Linked DNA regions of Arabidopsis thaliana. The protein of the gene in region 1 binds, or shares a complex with, the protein of each later gene. Each region holds a gene or a part of one and is shown in the gene's direction. Other genes may lie near its edges.

What was found.
Region 2: ARPC1A (region 1) and AT5G65274 share a complex: the UniProt entries of both Arabidopsis thaliana proteins name them as parts of the arp2/3 complex.
Region 3: ARPC1A (region 1) and CRK share a complex: the UniProt entries of both Arabidopsis thaliana proteins name them as parts of the arp2/3 complex.
Region 4: ARPC1A (region 1) and DIS2 share a complex: the UniProt entries of both Arabidopsis thaliana proteins name them as parts of the arp2/3 complex.

The regions. Positions count from the first base shown.
Region 1 is NC_003071.7:13,150,944-13,157,532, forward strand, and holds ARPC1A (actin-related protein C1A), read left to right. Parts: upstream 1-1,845; 5' UTR 1,846-1,954; intron 1,955-2,229; exon of another isoform or gene 2,230-2,295; 5' UTR 2,296-2,503; coding exon 2,504-2,573; intron 2,574-2,943; coding exon 2,944-3,032; intron 3,033-3,227; coding exon 3,228-3,304; intron 3,305-3,407; coding exon 3,408-3,502; intron 3,503-3,618; coding exon 3,619-3,688; intron 3,689-3,946; coding exon 3,947-4,016; intron 4,017-4,251; coding exon 4,252-4,325; coding exon of another isoform or gene 4,326-4,344; intron 4,345-4,412; coding exon 4,413-4,455; intron 4,456-4,552; coding exon of another isoform or gene 4,553-4,576; coding exon 4,577-4,658; intron 4,659-4,793; coding exon 4,794-4,882; intron 4,883-4,976; coding exon 4,977-5,062; intron 5,063-5,219; coding exon 5,220-5,283; intron 5,284-5,482; coding exon 5,483-5,583; intron 5,584-5,705; coding exon 5,706-5,764; intron 5,765-5,858; coding exon 5,859-5,926; 3' UTR 5,927-6,089; downstream 6,090-6,589. Other genes in the region: TBL43 (TRICHOME BIREFRINGENCE-LIKE 43), read left to right, coding at 316-493, 584-759, 848-1,006, 1,171-1,474; COQ3 (coenzyme Q 3), read right to left, coding at 6,466-6,585. UniProt on the Arabidopsis thaliana protein: Functions as a component of the Arp2/3 complex which is involved in regulation of actin polymerization and together with an activating nucleation-promoting factor (NPF) mediates the formation of branched actin networks.
Region 2 is NC_003076.8:26,083,438-26,086,514, forward strand, and holds AT5G65274 (ARP2/3 complex 16 kDa subunit (p16-Arc)), read left to right. Parts: upstream 1-1,862; coding exon 1,863-1,960; intron 1,961-2,038; coding exon 2,039-2,111; intron 2,112-2,155; exon of another isoform or gene 2,156-2,201; coding exon 2,202-2,302; exon of another isoform or gene 2,303-2,387; coding exon 2,388-2,523; downstream 2,524-3,077. Other genes in the region: RABA4a (RAB GTPase homolog A4A), read left to right, coding at 1-232, 666-1,113; GCL1 (GCR2-like 1), read right to left, coding at 2,692-3,077. UniProt on the Arabidopsis thaliana protein: Functions as a component of the Arp2/3 complex which is involved in regulation of actin polymerization and together with an activating nucleation-promoting factor (NPF) mediates the formation of branched actin networks.
Region 3 is NC_003075.7:734,075-737,507, forward strand, and holds CRK (ARP2/3 complex 16 kDa subunit (p16-Arc)), read left to right. Parts: upstream 1-1,578; 5' UTR 1,579-1,701; coding exon 1,702-1,790; intron 1,791-1,872; coding exon 1,873-1,945; intron 1,946-2,015; coding exon 2,016-2,116; intron 2,117-2,240; coding exon 2,241-2,376; 3' UTR 2,377-2,891; downstream 2,892-3,433. Other genes in the region: AT4G01703 (uncharacterized protein), read right to left, coding at 178-291. UniProt on the Arabidopsis thaliana protein: Functions as a component of the Arp2/3 complex which is involved in regulation of actin polymerization and together with an activating nucleation-promoting factor (NPF) mediates the formation of branched actin networks.
Region 4 is NC_003070.9:10,958,963-10,963,778, forward strand, and holds DIS2 (Arp2/3 complex, 34 kD subunit p34-Arc), read left to right. Parts: upstream 1-1,945; 5' UTR 1,946-2,143; coding exon 2,144-2,205; intron 2,206-2,395; coding exon 2,396-2,462; intron 2,463-2,555; coding exon 2,556-2,763; intron 2,764-2,858; coding exon 2,859-3,016; intron 3,017-3,119; coding exon 3,120-3,197; intron 3,198-3,275; coding exon 3,276-3,408; intron 3,409-3,504; coding exon 3,505-3,596; intron 3,597-3,722; coding exon 3,723-3,779; intron 3,780-3,849; coding exon 3,850-3,915; intron 3,916-4,001; coding exon 4,002-4,037; 3' UTR 4,038-4,269; downstream 4,270-4,816. UniProt on the Arabidopsis thaliana protein: Functions as actin-binding component of the Arp2/3 complex which is involved in regulation of actin polymerization and together with an activating nucleation-promoting factor (NPF) mediates the formation of branched actin networks.

The DNA.
Region 1 (6,589 bases):
CGTCTTTAGTATTTCTTGAGGGGGATTAATAGGTTTTTAATTAGGATTTATTATTGGATTCAAATCCCCTTTTATGTCGCATATAAGTTCATATGTAACTATGTAAGAATGTTATAGAATTTAGTAACCGAAGCAGCTGGTACATAAATCCATAACTATCATTTATTGGAATAAAACTGTTACAAAGACAATAAGTCACAAAATGTTACAAATTAACGGAAGTACCCAACCATTTTGTGGTAAATTATTAAACGTGAATATTTTCTCCTATGAATGATATAGAAGTGTTAAATTGATTAATGATGAATGGTGCAGATTCAACGGCTTAGATTTTCTGGGAAGGATAATGAAAGGGAAGAAACTGATGTTCGTAGGAGATTCACTGAGTCTAAACCAATGGCAATCTCTCACGTGTTTGCTCCACAACGCCGCACCAAAAGCCAATTCCACATCCACACGTTCCCCTTCTGGCCTCTCCGTCTTCTCATTCCCCGTAACGTTTTCTAACTTTATCAAACTCGTTCCGGTATTGATCCGGTTTAATAATTCTGGTTCGGTTCGTATTTAAATGCATGCAATGCAGGCTTACAATTCTTCGATTATGTTTTCAAGAAACGCGTTTCTTGTGGATATAGTCGGAGCCCCACCGAAGCGAGTGATGAAGCTTGACTCAATCTCGAGTGGTTCGTTGTGGAAAACCGCAGACGTTTTGGTCTTCAACTCTTGGCATTGGTGGCTTCACACAGACCGAAAACAACCGTAAAATCATCTTTATGTCGTCAAACATATTTTGCTATGGACTATGGACTTATTAGTATCTAACTAATGTAATCATTTGGGGTTGCAGATGGGACGCAATTATGTCCGGGAATGTAACGGTTAAAGACATGGACCGGTTAGTGGCATATGAGAAAGCAATGATGACTTGGGCTAAGTGGATTGATCAAAATATTGATCCTTCCAAAACCAAAGTCTTCTTCCAAGGTATTTCTCCGGACCATGGCCGGTAAGTTCTACCTCTATATAACTTCTTTTTTATTCGATACATACATTAAATCAACGATAAAAACTTAACACGATTGATATATGTTGGATTAGTCTATAAGTTTTCGTTAGAACCAAATAATTTCATGTTGATATTGTTAACAATAATGGTACATAATGTTACAGGGCAAGGGAATGGTCGAAACAAGGTGGCAAAGGCAGTTGCATAGGAGAAACAAAGCCGATTATGGGATCGAGTTACCTGGCTGGGCCGCACGCAGCCGAGATGGTGGTGGCGAAAGTGATAAAGACGATGAAGAATCAGGCGCGGTTAATGGATGTGACATTGATGTCTCAGCTAAGGAAAGATGGACATCCTTCAGTATACGGTTTTGGCGGTCACAGAATGGCGGATTGTAGCCATTGGTGTCTCTCTGGAGTCCCGGATAGCTGGAACCAGCTCTTGTATTCTGAGCTGTTTCATTCTTAAAATTTTGATGGTTTTGACACAAAACTAAATTCATTATATGATTTATACATTTATTTATGACCTAACCATGTTTGTGTTGTTTTACACATTTATTTTATGTCATAAACATGTTTATTTAGAATTTCAAATTCATTTGTCAACCAAAATGTTTAAATGAGAACAAGATTCTTTGACTGGTCGAACAATTTATAAGAGAAGAATTTGCAAGAATATAACCTTATGATCTCGTTATAATTGAATGGACTAAATATGTGTCCTGAATCTCTAAGTGAGAGATTAGAGGAAGACCAAAACTAGAAGTAAACCTTATTCCACGAGAGGGGATAACTAGCGTAGCTTATATAATAACTTTGTACAATGATTTGGGGTTAAGTTATTTTTGGATTATGCTAAATCAAAATCTAATATAGTGGTGCAAGCCCCTTGACTTGGGTCAATGATTCAAAAGCTTATACAAAAAAAAAAACGAAAAAACTAATAGTAAAACATTACTTTAGAAAAAAGTTACTAATCAATATTTTTTTAAAAATTTCAGATTACTTTATAAGTTACTCTATACTCATAGACTCATAGTGAGATATAGTTCTATTTTTACATGGATGAATTGGATCGAATCCATTTATCTACATTAATGTATTTAACTAATGCAGAACTTAAGCCTTTTATCGGAAAAAACAAAAACAAAACTAATGCAGATTACAGAACTATAGATTTAAAAATAAAAATAATTCGATTTTTTCCTTATTATTATGCTGGTTTGCCCAAAAATAAAGGTCCAAGTAAAACTGAAATTGATCTGGTCATAAAAATTGGGGCTTTAGTAAAAAAAAAAAAAAAAAAAAAAACATCTGTCTCTTTCACTTCACGTTTGCGACTGTGTCGTCGTCCACCTCCGGATCTCATCGGCGTTTCATCATAATTATCTGTCCATCTATTCACCGTACGACTCCGTTTTAGGAATCTGTGGATGTCAATTTGAGAGAAAAGACTGTCTTCATTACAACACATTTGGGACAACAAGGATCACTCATGGCAGTGGTGGATGTTCATCGTTTCGCTGAGTCAATCACTTGCCATGCTTGGAGTCCTGATCTCTCCAGTATGTTTCTAACACCTCTCTGATTTTGTGATTCTCTTCTTTCTCTCTTCCGTCGTTTTTTCCGTTTTAGAATTATAAATGAGGAGGATCTATCTATAGTTAGTTTGGCTGGGAAGATAGATAGATGATACAACTAAATTGACTTGTGTTATTCTTATACATCTTGGTAATCAAATTTCTTCGAGTCAATGTTTTATATGTCTGTTTGTCGGTGTCTCTTGTTAGGAACACTTGGTATCTAGTATTGTACATTAGTAGATGCGCTTTTCTAAACAGATGAACCAAATCTATTGTTACAAATGATTTAACGTCTGTACTAAAGCCTGTAACCATTTATGTGCTTTGACATTTGTTTCGTTTTTCTTGGTAGTGGTTGCTCTCTGTCCTAACAACACTGAAGTTCATATCTATAAATCATTGTCTCAAGACCACTGGGAGAGGTTACATGTCCTCCAAAAGGTGAAACCTTTCTCTCTCCCTCTCTTTCTGTAACTTTTGAACTTGCATTCCTTTTGCTTTCTCTTCTTGGGAATTCCTTACTTTCGTATATTTATGTATTCTCATTTCACTGATCACTTGTCGCTGATAAGTGTTGTATAGACAGCTTGAATCTCCCTTACAACAACTTCATGATTATTGTTCGTCTTGTTGCAGCATGACCAAATTGTTTCTGGAATAGATTGGAGCTCAAAGTCCAACAAAATCGTCACTGTTTCTCATGACAGGAACTCGTAAGTTGCTACCTTTGATATACTTTGAGAAACTCCAAACCTGTTAATCTTAGTCCTTCACTTTTTTTCGTTCGTTGAACTGAGTTTAGAATGCTTCTTGAAGGTACGTCTGGAGCCTGGAAGGAGCTGAATGGGTACCAACTCTCGTTATTCTTAGACTAAATCGTGCTGCACTTTGTGTCCAATGGAGCCCCAAAGGTAAATGTTTAATTTTTCTGGTTCTTAAGCTTAATTTCCGTAATATGTAGTGTAATTTTCCTATAATTTCTACAGCTTCTAATCTATGTTCTCATCTTTTTGCTCAATACCCATAGAGAACAAGTTTGCTGTTGGAAGTGGTGCTAAAACTGTTTGTATTTGCTATTATGAGCAAGAGAATAACTGGTATTTTCTTCTTCTGCTCCTAATTCTCATTATTAGTCCTTGATTTTTTCTTTGGCAAGTTTCCTGACTTCTTTGCTACGAATGGTGTTGTTGGTCTATGTAATGATATTATTTTGTCTTATGTACTGGCATGATATTAGCACCAATCATATTTTTTATTATCTTGGCATGCATAACTGTGTATTGTTTAGAGATTTTAGAAAGATACTTTCATGTAAACTTTTAGTATCTGACATTGCTTGGCTTTACTGTTTTCAGGTGGGTCAGTAAGCTAATCCGGAAAAGGCACGAATCTTCAGTCACATCTGTTGCTTGGCATCCTAATAATGTACGTGCAATCAACAGAACCTCTTGTAGTTCATGTAGTTAAAATAATAAGCAGGCTCTCTGTAAAAGCATTCTCTACCAAAAATATTCTATAAGTTGGCCACCAGATTGAGTATAGAGTACATGATCCCTAAAAATAGAATATCAATCTCCACAAACTAGTTAATCTTCTAAATCATTTTTTCTCGTATGCTTTTTTATGTTGCTGTGCTCTCTGATTGTCTGTTATGCATTAGGTTCTTCTGGCAACGACATCAACAGATGGAAAATGTCGGGTATTTTCAACATTTATCAAAGGAGTTGACACAAAGTATGCTCATTACTTGAACGTCTACTTTTAAAACATTTTTTCAAACATGAGGCCGTTTCTTATTTGTCTTTCAATGGGCTGATACAGGGATTCAAAAGCAGGCTCACCAGCGGAAACGAAATTTGGGGAGGTTTGACTCGTTTGGCTGGCTTTCCTTCTTTTAGTAAATAGTATACCACTTCTGCCATATATATGTTCCCTCTACTCACTCTCTTATCTAATGTTAGGGAGCTTTTTTTCTGTTGAAACAGCAAATTCTTCAGCTTGATCTCTCATATTCTTGGGCATTTGGTGTTAAATGGTCTCCAAGTGGAAACACCTTAGCTTATGTAGGTCAGAATATCCTTAAAACTTAAGATGTTTGTCCATTGAGCTCTACTGGAATTATAAAAATGGAACTTCACCTTGGTTGCATAATTTTTACTACACTCCGTCTCACTTCCCTTGTTCATGCAATCTTGTTTATAGGTCATAGCTCCATGATTTACTTTGTTGATGATGTTGGTCCTTCTCCTTTAGCCCAAAGCGTTGCATTTCGAGATTTGCCTCTTCGTGATGTGGGTCAGCATCCACTCTTTTTTTTCTTTTGAGAAAGTGTTCTCATGTGTTATATCCTGAATTGATATATTATCGGGAACTTGCTATCTTCAGGTCCTGTTTATTTCTGAGAAAATGGTGATAGGCGTGGGATATGACAGCAACCCGATGGTATTTGCCTCAGATGATACTGGAATATGGTGTGTAACTCTTAGTTTTCTCTTTCTTAGCTATTTCCAGACAATCAAATACTTCAATTCATTAATTCTCCTTAGCTCTCAGGCCGGATAGTTATTTCTGAAATCATCCACACACCGATGATTGCCTTGTTTACAAGTTTTTGTTTATGGTCTGCAGGAGCTTTATCAGATACATCGGAGAGAAGAAAGCAGCATCTTCAAATTCCAGTTACAGTTCGCAGGTACATACCATGTTTTCTTTCTTGAATAAAATATGAGTGAACTTAGCTTATTCCTGAAGTGTTCCTCTAAGATAGTAGTAATCTTTCGGGTTAGTGTAGTTGCTCCTTTTTTCTCCTTGGGTTTACTACTTTGAACTTTCCACTTGCATTATTTGTACTGTTTTGTCTAATCCTTTTTTTCATTATGTTATCTTTTCAGTTTTCTGAAGCATTTGGAAAATTCTACGGCAGTCAATCAAAGTCCACAACAGCCAACGATGCTTCTGAATCACGTGGAGGTGTTCATGATAACTGCATAAAGTAATTATTTCTTAAGCTAACTTTTCTTTTACCAAATCATTTGCCAGAAACCTGCCTCATTAACTCTTTTACTTCGATTGTCTATTAAGAACCTGACATGGAAGGTTACCTGAAAATTGCAGTTCCATTGTGTCTCTGAGCAAAGCAGGGAGTCCTAAAGTAATGCGATTCAGCACTTCAGGTCAGTCACTAATACAAAATGGAATTAGCCGATTCAGTTCTCAAAAAACAAACCAGCAGTTTCATTTACTCGCATAACGGTTTGTTATTTATAGGATTGGATGGCAAAGTTGCCATATGGGATCTGGAGAACATGGAACAAGAACTTGGCAATCAGTTTTAATAAACACACAAATAAAACAATTCTGGCTCACAAGCAAGGTTTTACTTAAGTTTAAACTACTTTTTCAATTTCGTAATTGTTTCACTTTGTAAACTGCCACAATAAAAGGCCTTATTTTCTTGGTTTGTGTAAGGGCAGGTATTAATAAGTTTCTTGGCTTCATGATTTGATTCATTTAGTTAGCATCTTGTAATACCTTTTATATATAGTAATATCAGCTTTGTGTCGAAAGGAGTCCATATTGAACCAAACACAACAATTTCGCAAAATTTTCAAGTTCTTGAGAAGAAGCAAAAAGCTTTGGTCCTCCGAACTATGCCATATTTACCACAAAACGAGATATCGACAAACATTAATCTTCTATCAGATGACAGAAGTGTGATTCAGAAGACCAAATATTCTTTGAATGTTTCTCACTTATTGCAAAACAACTACTGTCCTCGTCCTAAGCAACTTCCAGAGTACCTAGTTTTTAAAGCATGAACTAGAGTTGTAACTCAGAAGCAGATATGCAGAGAAACACGACTTGGAACGATTGATTATATGTCTCCAAGATCCTTCCTTTTCGTCCCATAAGCAATATAGTTGACACTAATATCATCTGACAATAACCATCTTCCTGTTATTGGGTTGTACACAAATCCAGCTATCTCTTTCACCTGC
Region 2 (3,077 bases), on another chromosome or scaffold:
TGACTAGTGGAGGAGGATACGGAGATCCGTCGCAGAAGATTGATTATGTGTTCAAAGTGGTGTTGATCGGCGATTCCGCGGTTGGGAAATCACAGATACTGGCTCGTTATGCTAGAGACGAATTCAGTTTGGATTCTAAGGCCACCATCGGCGTTGAGTTTCAGACTCGGACGCTTGTTATCGATCACAAGAGTGTTAAGGCTCAGATCTGGGATACCGCCGGCCAAGAACGGTAATCTCCGACCTCTCCCGGAACTTTTAGCTACTTCAATTGCTTGAACTTAGATCTCGTAAGATTTTACTGTTTCTCTAGATCTGGAAGATGATAGGTCTGCTTAGGATTTCGAATTCTAGTAAAGCTTACTGATCTGTATACGAAATTGGGAGGATCTGAAGTAAAATGGTAGAATCATTGAGAATTTGGGATTGGGATTTCAAAATTATGTATAGACTAGAATTATGTATATTACTATTCCAATGTTATTAAGCTTCTATAATTTTATGATTGGTACAAATTTGGACACTTTTGTTATACATTTCCCAGTGATGCTTCATCAACTTTATACATTCACTGATCTTTAATGAGTAAGCTAACCACCACATTTCATGCTTATCATATGCTTACATTGTATATCTTTCTATATGTGTGGTATTGGTTGAAACAGATACAGAGCAGTAACAAGTGCATATTACCGAGGAGCGGTTGGGGCGATGTTGGTGTATGACATAACCAGACGCCAAACCTTTGACCATATCCCAAGATGGTTAGAAGAACTACGTGCTCATGCAGATAAGAACATTGTGATAATCCTTATTGGGAACAAGTCAGATCTTGTGGATCAACGAGCTATACCGACAGAAGATGCGAAAGAATTTGCGGAGAAAGAAGGTTTGTTCTTCTTGGAGACATCTGCATTTAACGCAACCAATGTTGAGAGCGCTTTCTCCACGGTTTTGACTGAGATCTTCAACATTGTGAACAAGAAAAGTCTGGCTGCGAGTGAAGATCAAGAGAATGGTAATCCCGGGTCGCTTGCTGGTAAGAAGATTGATATTGTTCCAGGTCCTGGTCAAGTGATACCAAACAAGAGTAACATGTGTTGTAACTCTTAGATAAACCAATTCAATTCTTGAATGTTACTTGATAACAACAATATATAGATGTTTTAAAGACTCTGATTGGGATATTTCTCCTATCTAGAGCTGTGTGATTCATTTGTTGCTTAATGAGCAGTTTTTGTGGGGTTTTGGGGTGTTGAATCCAAGTATAACAAACCGATCTTAATTTGATCTTAAAAATTGGATATTAATTTGATCAACATGTTTTTATTCTCTCTACATTTGTAAGATTATTGTTACATTTTTGTTAATTACAAATATATACCAGCAATAACAACTTTTCTATTTCTCTTGTTACGTCAATGTGAAAAAGTAAAAATTAAAAACTGAAGCATCCGATTTTAATAATTGGTATCACAGTTCTGATAAATTCTCACTCGGCCGTTTTACCACTCGATTGCTTTATTCTCTCTAATTTCAGGTAATCTTCGAATCCTGCTTGATTCTTCAATCTTGTATGATTTGATCAGAAAGTTCAGGATTACTGATCTGATATGATGTGAGAAATCTGCGTACCATCGGCAATGGATTGTTTTACGTGATTAGAATTGATTTTGTCGTGATTGTTACTTCTCTTTTTAGCTTTTTATGGGGATGACAAGTTTTGCATTGCCTCCTTTGGTTAGTAAACTCAAATCATATGTTTCTTATGCAGCAAGTTGTCGATTTGAATGAAGAAATGAAATTAATTGATTAGGTTTTAGATAATTTTGCTGGAGAGTGTAGAGAAAGAGAGAGATCCAATGGCTGGTGCAGCAGCATTTGTTGAAGCTGATAATGCAGAGGAAATAATGGCAAGGATCGAAACCAAATCGCAGAAGATTGAAAGCTTACTCAAACAGTAATAACCCTAAAGTTCCTTTTTTCTTCCAACTTTCTCAGATGACCTAGGCTATAATTGTTACTTCGTTTTATTCAGCTACAAACATGTCGAAGCTCTTAAAACGGCTCTTGATGGTTCGCCACCTAAAACTCTCGACGAACGTTGCAAGGTCCTACTGTTTCCTCTACCATGCACATAAGTAGTTTGTTCATGATCAAAAAGATTGTGTAATTTATGATAAATATCTGTGAAATTGCAGTCAGCTAATTGGATAGTTGTGCACAGAGCTATCATGGCGATAAAGGATATCGAAGGAATGTTAAATTCTCTTACTGCCGAGTATTACGACATTCTCATGAAGTAAGTCTCTTGCCTTTTGCTCTGCTAGCTTTTAATTAGCGTGATGTGGAAGCAGTGTTTTGTTTGCTTAAATGGTGTGGATCAGGTACTTGTACAGAGGTCTTTCGACTGGTGACGAACCCACATGCGAACAGTGTTTGATGATTCACGAGAAACTAACAGAGAGAGCTGGTCTCGGTTGCATTCTCCGTTGTCTGAGTGATACTACCAATACCGTTTAAACCATTAAGCTGATCTTTTCATGTTACTTTTATTCTTGTTTTCTATGAATGTTTCTCCCAAATCTCAAGTTACTTCAATAGATTATAGAAAGTGGAATAAACCGGAGAACCTAAGATCCTTTCACAAAGAGATAGTCATAAAAGAACCTACGGTTACCTGGTTTTAAATTATATCTCATAACCAGGAAACTTAGAATCTACCGGCGACACAAGATCGAACCAGAGGCATACTGGTCCAGCTAGTCCCCGGAATAGCGAATAATCATGTTCTGTTTCTTGGCTTGTCATATTCACGAGCTCTATCGCATCACGGCACAAGTAACTCGCAAACGCTTTTGCTCTCTCTTCATATACAACATCTCCGGTTAAGCGATAAAGGGATAAGAAAGCGTAGGCATTACCAGCAACTCCATCAGCTAAACCTACCTTCTTCACCAAGCCACTCTTCCACACTACTTCTCCTGCTTCAATGGCTGCTTCGCGGAAATCCCTTTCCTTGGGAAACACCTGAGATGCTTTAGCCAAAGTAATGGCCATGCCGGTTGCTCCATGAG
Region 3 (3,433 bases), on another chromosome or scaffold:
TGTTTTTGAAGTTAAAAAATATAAAATTTCAAAGTTCGAGGTCGGTGGCTAACTAACATGAAAAGCGCCGAGCAACTTGTGATATGTACGAGTTGGACCAAGTCGTGACGACTTTTTTAATAAGCTTAAGATCCAATTATTTCTCAAGAAAAACAGTAAAACGTACGCCAACATATATTAACTACGACGACAAAATTCTTGGCCTTTAAGAAAGACTAGTACACGATCAATCCCAACGATTAAACCAGCAGACGAGTAACCATATGTAGGGTACGAGTTTCTCAACCACATCTCCAACTTTTCAGTAGACGATCTAATTATGTTTAACCACTAGAAGCCGACACCATAAACATCCATCCGAGGTTATCGTCTTTCGAAGAGTTCCTAACGAGCATTCATGAAACATCATTCTCACTTCTCCTCCCACTAAACCGACTTTTTTCGGATGTTATTTCAAATTTGGTTAATTGCTAAATGATTGACCATTAATTCGACCACGTGATTACACAAAGAGACGTTTAGATCCACTACATTGGTGCGATGTGAAGTGATCACCATGCTTTAGTTTACACGTCCACTTTATATAGGTTTGGCAGTTAAAAAAAAGAAGTTTTATACATAGTTCTATCAAGTGGTCTTAGACCGAATCTTGGCAATATATTTGTTATAAGACTACCAATATCATTAATGATTAGAGAAAGTTAATGTTAAGTTTCATCAGATTCTAATTTAAAACCAATGGGTAATGATTGGATTGGTTGTGTTCCATATATACTAGTGTTAGCACTTAGCAGTCATGAGTGTGTTTACTCCATTTATAGTATACTTTCGATGTAGGATCCTAATTAGAATGATAAAGAAACATTCCAAAAGAGTATTATCAAAATGCTCTTCGTCTATCCATACAAATATAATGAGATTTGGGCAGAAACAACCATTTTGTTAACATATTAGGGTCGAGCGCAGAAAAAAATATATTTTGACCTGTGTTAATAAAATAGAATAGGTTGCGATTTTAATTAAGGAGGTTAATAAATTAAAATCGTAAAAATGATACCAAAATGGTAACAAAATCGTAAAGAAAAGTTCATTAGTATAAATATAAAAAATTCGGTCCAACAAATATTACTATTAAAAATTTATAAGAGAGATTTATAATAAAAAAAAAATTGTTATACCAAGAAAGAAAAGGAGATTCTTGTATTGTAACCCGTTTGTGTGTCTTTTTTAGTCTCAGATTTGTTTTAATTTTCTATGACTTAGGATTTGTAAGTCTTTTTTGGATTTCTAGAACCTGATCGAGGAAATTTCAATGAATATAGTGTAATTGGTTTGTTTGGATTTTGTTCCCTTTGTTTACCTTGTTTGGTATTTGGCTTCGGGAGTGTTCTTGTACTCATCGGCTTATGTCTCCGGAAGTGGTTTGTACTTGCCGGCTCTTGTATTTCAACTTGAATCCTATCGATGAAAATCCTATTGACAAAAAATGAAAAAAAAAATGAAGCTTCCATCATCCATCATTCAGTGGCAGCATAAGCATTTAAGACTACGTGCCGTTTAAGGCCAAGACAAACGGCACTCAGTTCCCTTTTGAAATGGTCAAATGGCGATTGAGTTGTTTTCCTCTCTCTCTCTCATTTTTTCAATTAAAGAAGGGAAAGAGGGGAAATCTCTGATCGGAGAGAAAGATCGAATCGAAGAATGGCAGAATTCGTTGAAGCTGATAACGCAGAAGCAATAATCGCGAGGATCGAAACCAAATCGAGGAAGATTGAAAGCCTACTCAAACAGTAATATCAGACCTTGGAGCTAAACCCTAAAGTCTTCTTTTGTTTTTGGTTTAATCCCTTATCGGTGTTTTAATGTGTGCAGGTACAAACATGTAGAAGCTTTGAAAACGGCTCTTGAAGGTTCGCCTCCGAAAACTCGCGATGAACGTTGCAAGGTCTCTCTCTTTCCGAAACCATCTTTTTTTTTTTTTTTGATTTACTGAGCCAAAAAAAACTCAACTGCAGTCGGCTAATTGGATAGTTGTGCACAGAGCTTTAATGGCCATTAAGGATATTGACGGAATGCTCAATGCTCTTGATGTCGAATATTACGACATTCTCATGAAGTAAGTGCAAAGTTGGTTTTTTTTTTTTTTGCTGTAATGCGTTTTGTAATATGTATGAATTGGAAAGCTCTATCCTCAGGCTGTCTGTGCTCTTTGATAGAATGTTTTTGCTTAAAATTCTCAGGTACTTGTACAGAGGACTTTCTACTGGGGACCGACCCACCTGCGATCAGTGCCTGAAGATTCACGAGAAACTCACTGAGAGAGCTGGTCTCGGTTGCATTCTCCGATGTCTTACTGATACCATCAACACCGTTTGATCCATCATTCCCTCTTATGTATTATTACTTGATGCCTTGATGTTTCCAATGTGCATATTCTCCTTGAGGAACCATGTCTCACATTTATCAGTTTTAGACTTGTATTTTCATTACCAAACAGTTGCTTGATAAATGATAACACAAGTCATTCCTAGAGCTCATGTGTAACATAATTCCCGGATCAGCTGAATCATAAATACGAAGACCAAGTTGTGATTAAGTAATTTTAGGGGGGTGTATTGAAACCAGAATCTTTTAGAAGATTTGGTGGAATTTGCATTCTTCTACAGACCAAATCCATTCTCGATTTTGCCGGTGAAGAACAGAGACCGAAAGCTTTTTTCATGGAAGACGAGGGGAGGAGGACAATGAGAATATGTCGCAGAGATTTTCTGTGAATCTTTTTTTAAATCAAATCGTTCAGAATAACACCTACAGGTGAGATTTTTTCATGCTTATTTTCAACTAAATTTTTTTGCCTAAGTCTCCCAGAATCAATGTTAAATGTTTTTAATGAAATTGTTTTGTTGAGTTTAGATAACAGTGGATTTAAGATGTGTTTTATAAATTCTTGAATGAATAACAGAAGATTATAGATTCTTTTGAGTGATTTTATATAAATTCCAATTTCAATAACAAAGGATTTGAGAAAAAAATTACAAATCACAAGTTGAATACAACCATTCCTGATTCACTGAATGTTCATAACTCGAAGGCCCAATATCGAACTCAGCCCATTGAAACTAAATTCATTTCTAAACTTTCAATGTAAATGCACTCGTCATACAAGAGTAAATGTTCACATAGTTAGTCATTGATTTAAACAATTTTACTCTTTAGATTTTTAAAATTTTATAGGATTGTAATAAACCAGGTTGAATTCAAATGTCAAATAGCGTTAAATAAAAGTTTAGATCTTTTTTTTTTTTTTTTTTTTTTTTATCAACGTTAGTACAAGAAGAAACAAGAGCAGCTTTTGCCAAAGCATCAGCTTGATCAACGTTTCCTTATAAAAGACAAAAGCAATTAAGTTTTTACTTTTACAGTCTTTTTGATC
Region 4 (4,816 bases), on another chromosome or scaffold:
AGTCACTTTATTGACGTTTACAGAATATGAAAAAATGATGGGCCTTCGCAATTGTACGTACTCGACAACATGCGTGGCGATGACTCACCTTATCCATATTTGATATTACTTTTTCTAGTACTCCTTGTTTTTACATCACTTTCTGGTAATATTTAATTAGAAATTTAGAACCCTAGACTTTGACACGGTAAATTTTAATAATAATAATATATAGTTGTATTAGAACAGTTAAGAAGTCTCACGAGTTCATAATCAGTTTTGCTTACTAGCTAACTGTATAAATAATTATGCTGGAATCTAACAATTCAAAATTAACTTTGCTTGAGAGTTTTATACCAAACACAAAAGTACAATTTAGTCTAGACTCTAGAAAAGATAAATTCTTATTGCGAAAAATAAAAATTGCAATATATATACAATAGAAGTTTTGGGAGGGATGGTTTGGAAGTTTTAACTATCTCCATGACTCGACATATAAAAATGTAAATATCATTGTTCAGCTAAATGAGCTACCATCGATTAGTTAAAAATAACATTCTTTTACGTCAACCAATCTATGGTTTAGGGGTTAAAATTTTCACTCTCAATATAAGAGGAAAGGTTTAAGTTTTTATCAAAGTTTTCCGGTTATAGAAATAACGTACGTACGACTGTTTTCTTTTTCTGCTTTTTTCAGATTTTCTAAAATCAGTACTTGGTCTTATATATAGATCGATATGCAAATATGCAATGGCGAAGATACGTCCCTAGCGGCTCCTCTTTTGCCAAGACCATGTCACGATCTATCTTACAAACGTTACTCATTTTACTATATCTACTTTTTTCTCCCTAATATAAATATAACTTCGCATATTTATTCATGAATATTTATGCTAAGAAAAGCCATCACATGCATTTATAGTATGTAAGCTTATGTCGATGCAGTAGGACCATATCCGTATATATGTGTGTGCGTATAGATACGTGAGATAGTTTTGCTTTTGAGGCTCCTTCATCTCTCACATCCGTCTGCCCACGATCAATTTCAAAATAGACAATTTTAAAGCTAAAAAATAATAATTTCTTTTTATATGTAGATGTAGCTTTCATATCTAACCTAAAAATATTTGTCGTCAAAGTAAAAAAACTTAATAAGAATATTATTTAAAGAGCTTTAAACTAATATTAACTATAAATCGTTCGTATACTATTGTTCGTTAAATTACATTTAGAGACTATACTAGTCTACTTTAATATCAATAAAAATAAAAACTTCACATGCATATGTTATTTGTCTTTATCCCACTCTGGCCAATTTAAATTTGAAAATATACGTAGACTTATAGATCAAATATCTTATCTTTTCATTGTTGAAAAAACTAATGTAACATTCTAATTAGTTAAATATCTCCACTTACAAAAAGAAAAGAGCCATATCTTATCCAAATTAATCTCTCAATTTTAAAAGCACACATTAAACGGTCAAATTCCAACTTTTGTTAGATTAAAATATTATGAAGACGTCAGATAATACGAAAACATTGCTCCACTAATTTTTGTCGTTTATTTCCATTCAAATAATCATATATCTGGAATCTAAAATATAAAATATCATTTAATTTACGTGCTTATTTTTTTTTTAAAAACCTTCGTCAGATTACAATCAACATAGCCAGGTATAATCAAAAGCCAGAGAAAAAATAATAATACAAATGTTAAAATCTGAAGGAAAAAAAAAAATCTAGAAAACACTACTAGTTTGCCACTGTCAAAACAAACATACAGATATTTGCAACATTAAATATTTTTGAAACGTTTAAGCTCAAATTGTATATTTATGAAATGGGCTCAGCTTATACTACATAGTATTTACATAATTGGGCCTATGGGCCATTTAAATTCATAAAAAATATAAAGTACAGAAATAACGAAACGGCGTCGTTACACTTAGCTGAGTAGCTGAGTAATAAAATTGAACAAATTAGTAAAATTCCAAAAAGTTATCGAAGAAACGTTCAAGCTGTGACAGAGAATCTCGGTCGTCTTCGTTTGTCTCCGACGAGCTCTCTTTCTTCTCCGATTAGATCCCGTGAGAAGAACTCAAAGGCTCTAGGGTTTCTCTGTGATTCAGTTAACTCCTTTAGATATCGTAAGAAAGTAATCGATGATACTATTGCAGTCACATTCAAGGTTTCTTCTTCAAACGCTATTGACGCGAGCTCAAAAGTAAGTGCTTTTCAATTCTTAATTAGGTACACTCTTAGTTTTACCTAATCTACAATAAGACCCATTTTTTATTTTGGTCGATTTGATTTTGATTTTGTGAAGAAATCTGAAACATTTTGGAAGAACTGGGTTTTGTAGAATGGAACCAAAGTTCAATACTTTGCTTGATTTTGTTTATGTTTTGGTTCAGTCTTGATAAAGCAGTGGAGCTAGATTATCAATGGATTGAATTTGATGATGTTCGTTACCATGTTCAGGTGTGAATTTTATACCAACATTTGAGTATTTGACCTCTGAGATCCATATGATCTTGTTCAATGTTCTGAGACTATATGAATTTTGTTTGATAGGTGACAATGAAGAATCCAAATCTGTTGTTGCTTTCGGTTTCGTTACCAAATCCACCACCTGAAGCAATGTCCTTTGATGGACTTCCTTTAGGAGCTATAGAAGCTATTAAAACCACTTACGGGACAGGTTTTCAAATACTTGATCCTCCTAGAGATGGTTTTAGTTTAACCCTCAAGCTCAATTTCTCTAAAGTTCGTCCTGATGAAGGTTTTTAAACGAGTCTCTTTCTCTAATTGATAAGATGTTGTTTTGATTTAGATGTTGGTTTTGTTCTCTAATAGAAAGTATCTATGTTTTGGCAGAGTTATTAACGAAGCTAGCTTCCATTAGAGAAGTGGTGATGGGTGCACCGTTAAAAATCATTTTCAAGCATTTAGCTTCAAGGACGGTTGCTCCTGAGCTGGATAGGCTTGTAGCAATTATGCATAGACCTAACGAGACGTTTTTCCTCGTGCCTCAGGTATATATATACTCTATAGGTCTTTCGTATGTAGCCATTGAAGTAGGTTCTTATGATTAGTAAGAATCTAGAGAGTGATAGAGAACTTAACTGTGTATCACAGGCGGATAAAGTCACTGTGGCATTTCCTATGAGATTTAAAGACTCCGTAGACACGATTCTGGCGACTTCTTTCCTTAAGGTGACAAAATGATCAAAGCTAAATTTTCAAACAGGTTTTGATTTCTGTAGTACTGAAACTTTGGATATAATGATATAGGAATTTGTAGAGGCGAGGCGTGCTGCTGCGCTTAATACTGCTCCTTCTTGTTCTTGGTCTCCAACCGCACCGCAGGAATTAGAGGGAGCTCCTAAAGAAACACTATCCGCTAATGCCGGTTTTGTAACTTTTGGTATGATCTTTCTAAAATATATTCTGTTCGAACTCAATTTGCATTGGTAGTACCAATCTGAAAGAAACTAACTTTGAGATTATCGATATATCGCAGTCATTTTTCCTCGGCATGTGGAAGGGAAAAAGCTCGATCGTACTGTCTGGAATTTATCGACCTTTCATGCTTATGTTAGTTATCACGTCAAGGTTCATATTCTTTATCGAACTTTCATGTTTTCTACTTTCATATTCTCTAAATACCAGAACTTAGTCTCTCTATCTTAGTATGGATTTGTAAAACTGAGTTTTTGTTCGTTTGTTGTTATATCACAGTTCTCAGAGGGATTTATGCACACCAGGATGCGGCGTCGCGTGGAATCTATGATTCAGGTAAAACACCAAACTCATTACATTCGACTTGGATATGCGTTCTTTAGTTAACAAAATCTTGTTGTCTCAGGCTCTGGATCAAGCTAAGCCATTGGAGAAAACAAGATCGATGAACAACAAGTCATTTAAACGGCTAGTAAGTTGCGAAACAATTTGTTTTTCGACAGACTTTTTCTTTGTTTGTTTGCATTGTTTTTGAGCTTTGTTTCCTCTTCCTCACAGGGACTCAACGAGGTCAATCACACCAACTCGAAGTAGTTGGATTTCTCACGAAGCAATTTTGTAAAAACTTGTGATTAGCTGAGACATGTATTTTTTTTACTGGATTAAGTCTCTGTGATATTTATTTTAGTACAATTCTTTCAGATATTTCTATACATCTGATCTTGCTAAATATTTGAACAAATGTATAATGTGAAAATTGTAAGAAACTCACCTTGATATGGACTGTGTCTGGTCTTGATCTAAACATGGTGTTTTCAACAGAAAATAAAGTTTTTGTTTTGTTTTATAATTGTTTTTACAAAAATGAAGAAGATGAATCTTTATTGTTCTTCAGATTCTCAGATAGTCAAATTAAATGAAGTAATATTCGTACCAACAAATAGTCGTAAAAGTTGATTTTCATATAAAAACAAACGTTCAATTTATCCTTATACACAGATGTATCAAAGATTTGTAGTGATCTAGTAAGGTATAAGAAGAAGATTCAAAGGTCGCACGAGTAAATTAACGATTCCTTCGTAGTATACTTTTGAGGCCCATAAATTATGACTGGGCATATATTGTTAGGTTTCATTGTATCAAAAAATGAAATAAAAAGCAATTAACTGGCTTCGCCCGGGTTCGAACCGGAGACCTTCAGTGTGTTAGACTGACGTGATAACCAACTACACCACGAAACCTTTTTGTCTTCTTGATGTTGGTTTAACATATTCTATCTTCCTTACTGATCACCTTCACATTTTCGCAAACCATTGTATAATCTCTCATTAGCTCTAAGGACTAGAATATTGTTTCGAGAATGGATAAAGAAG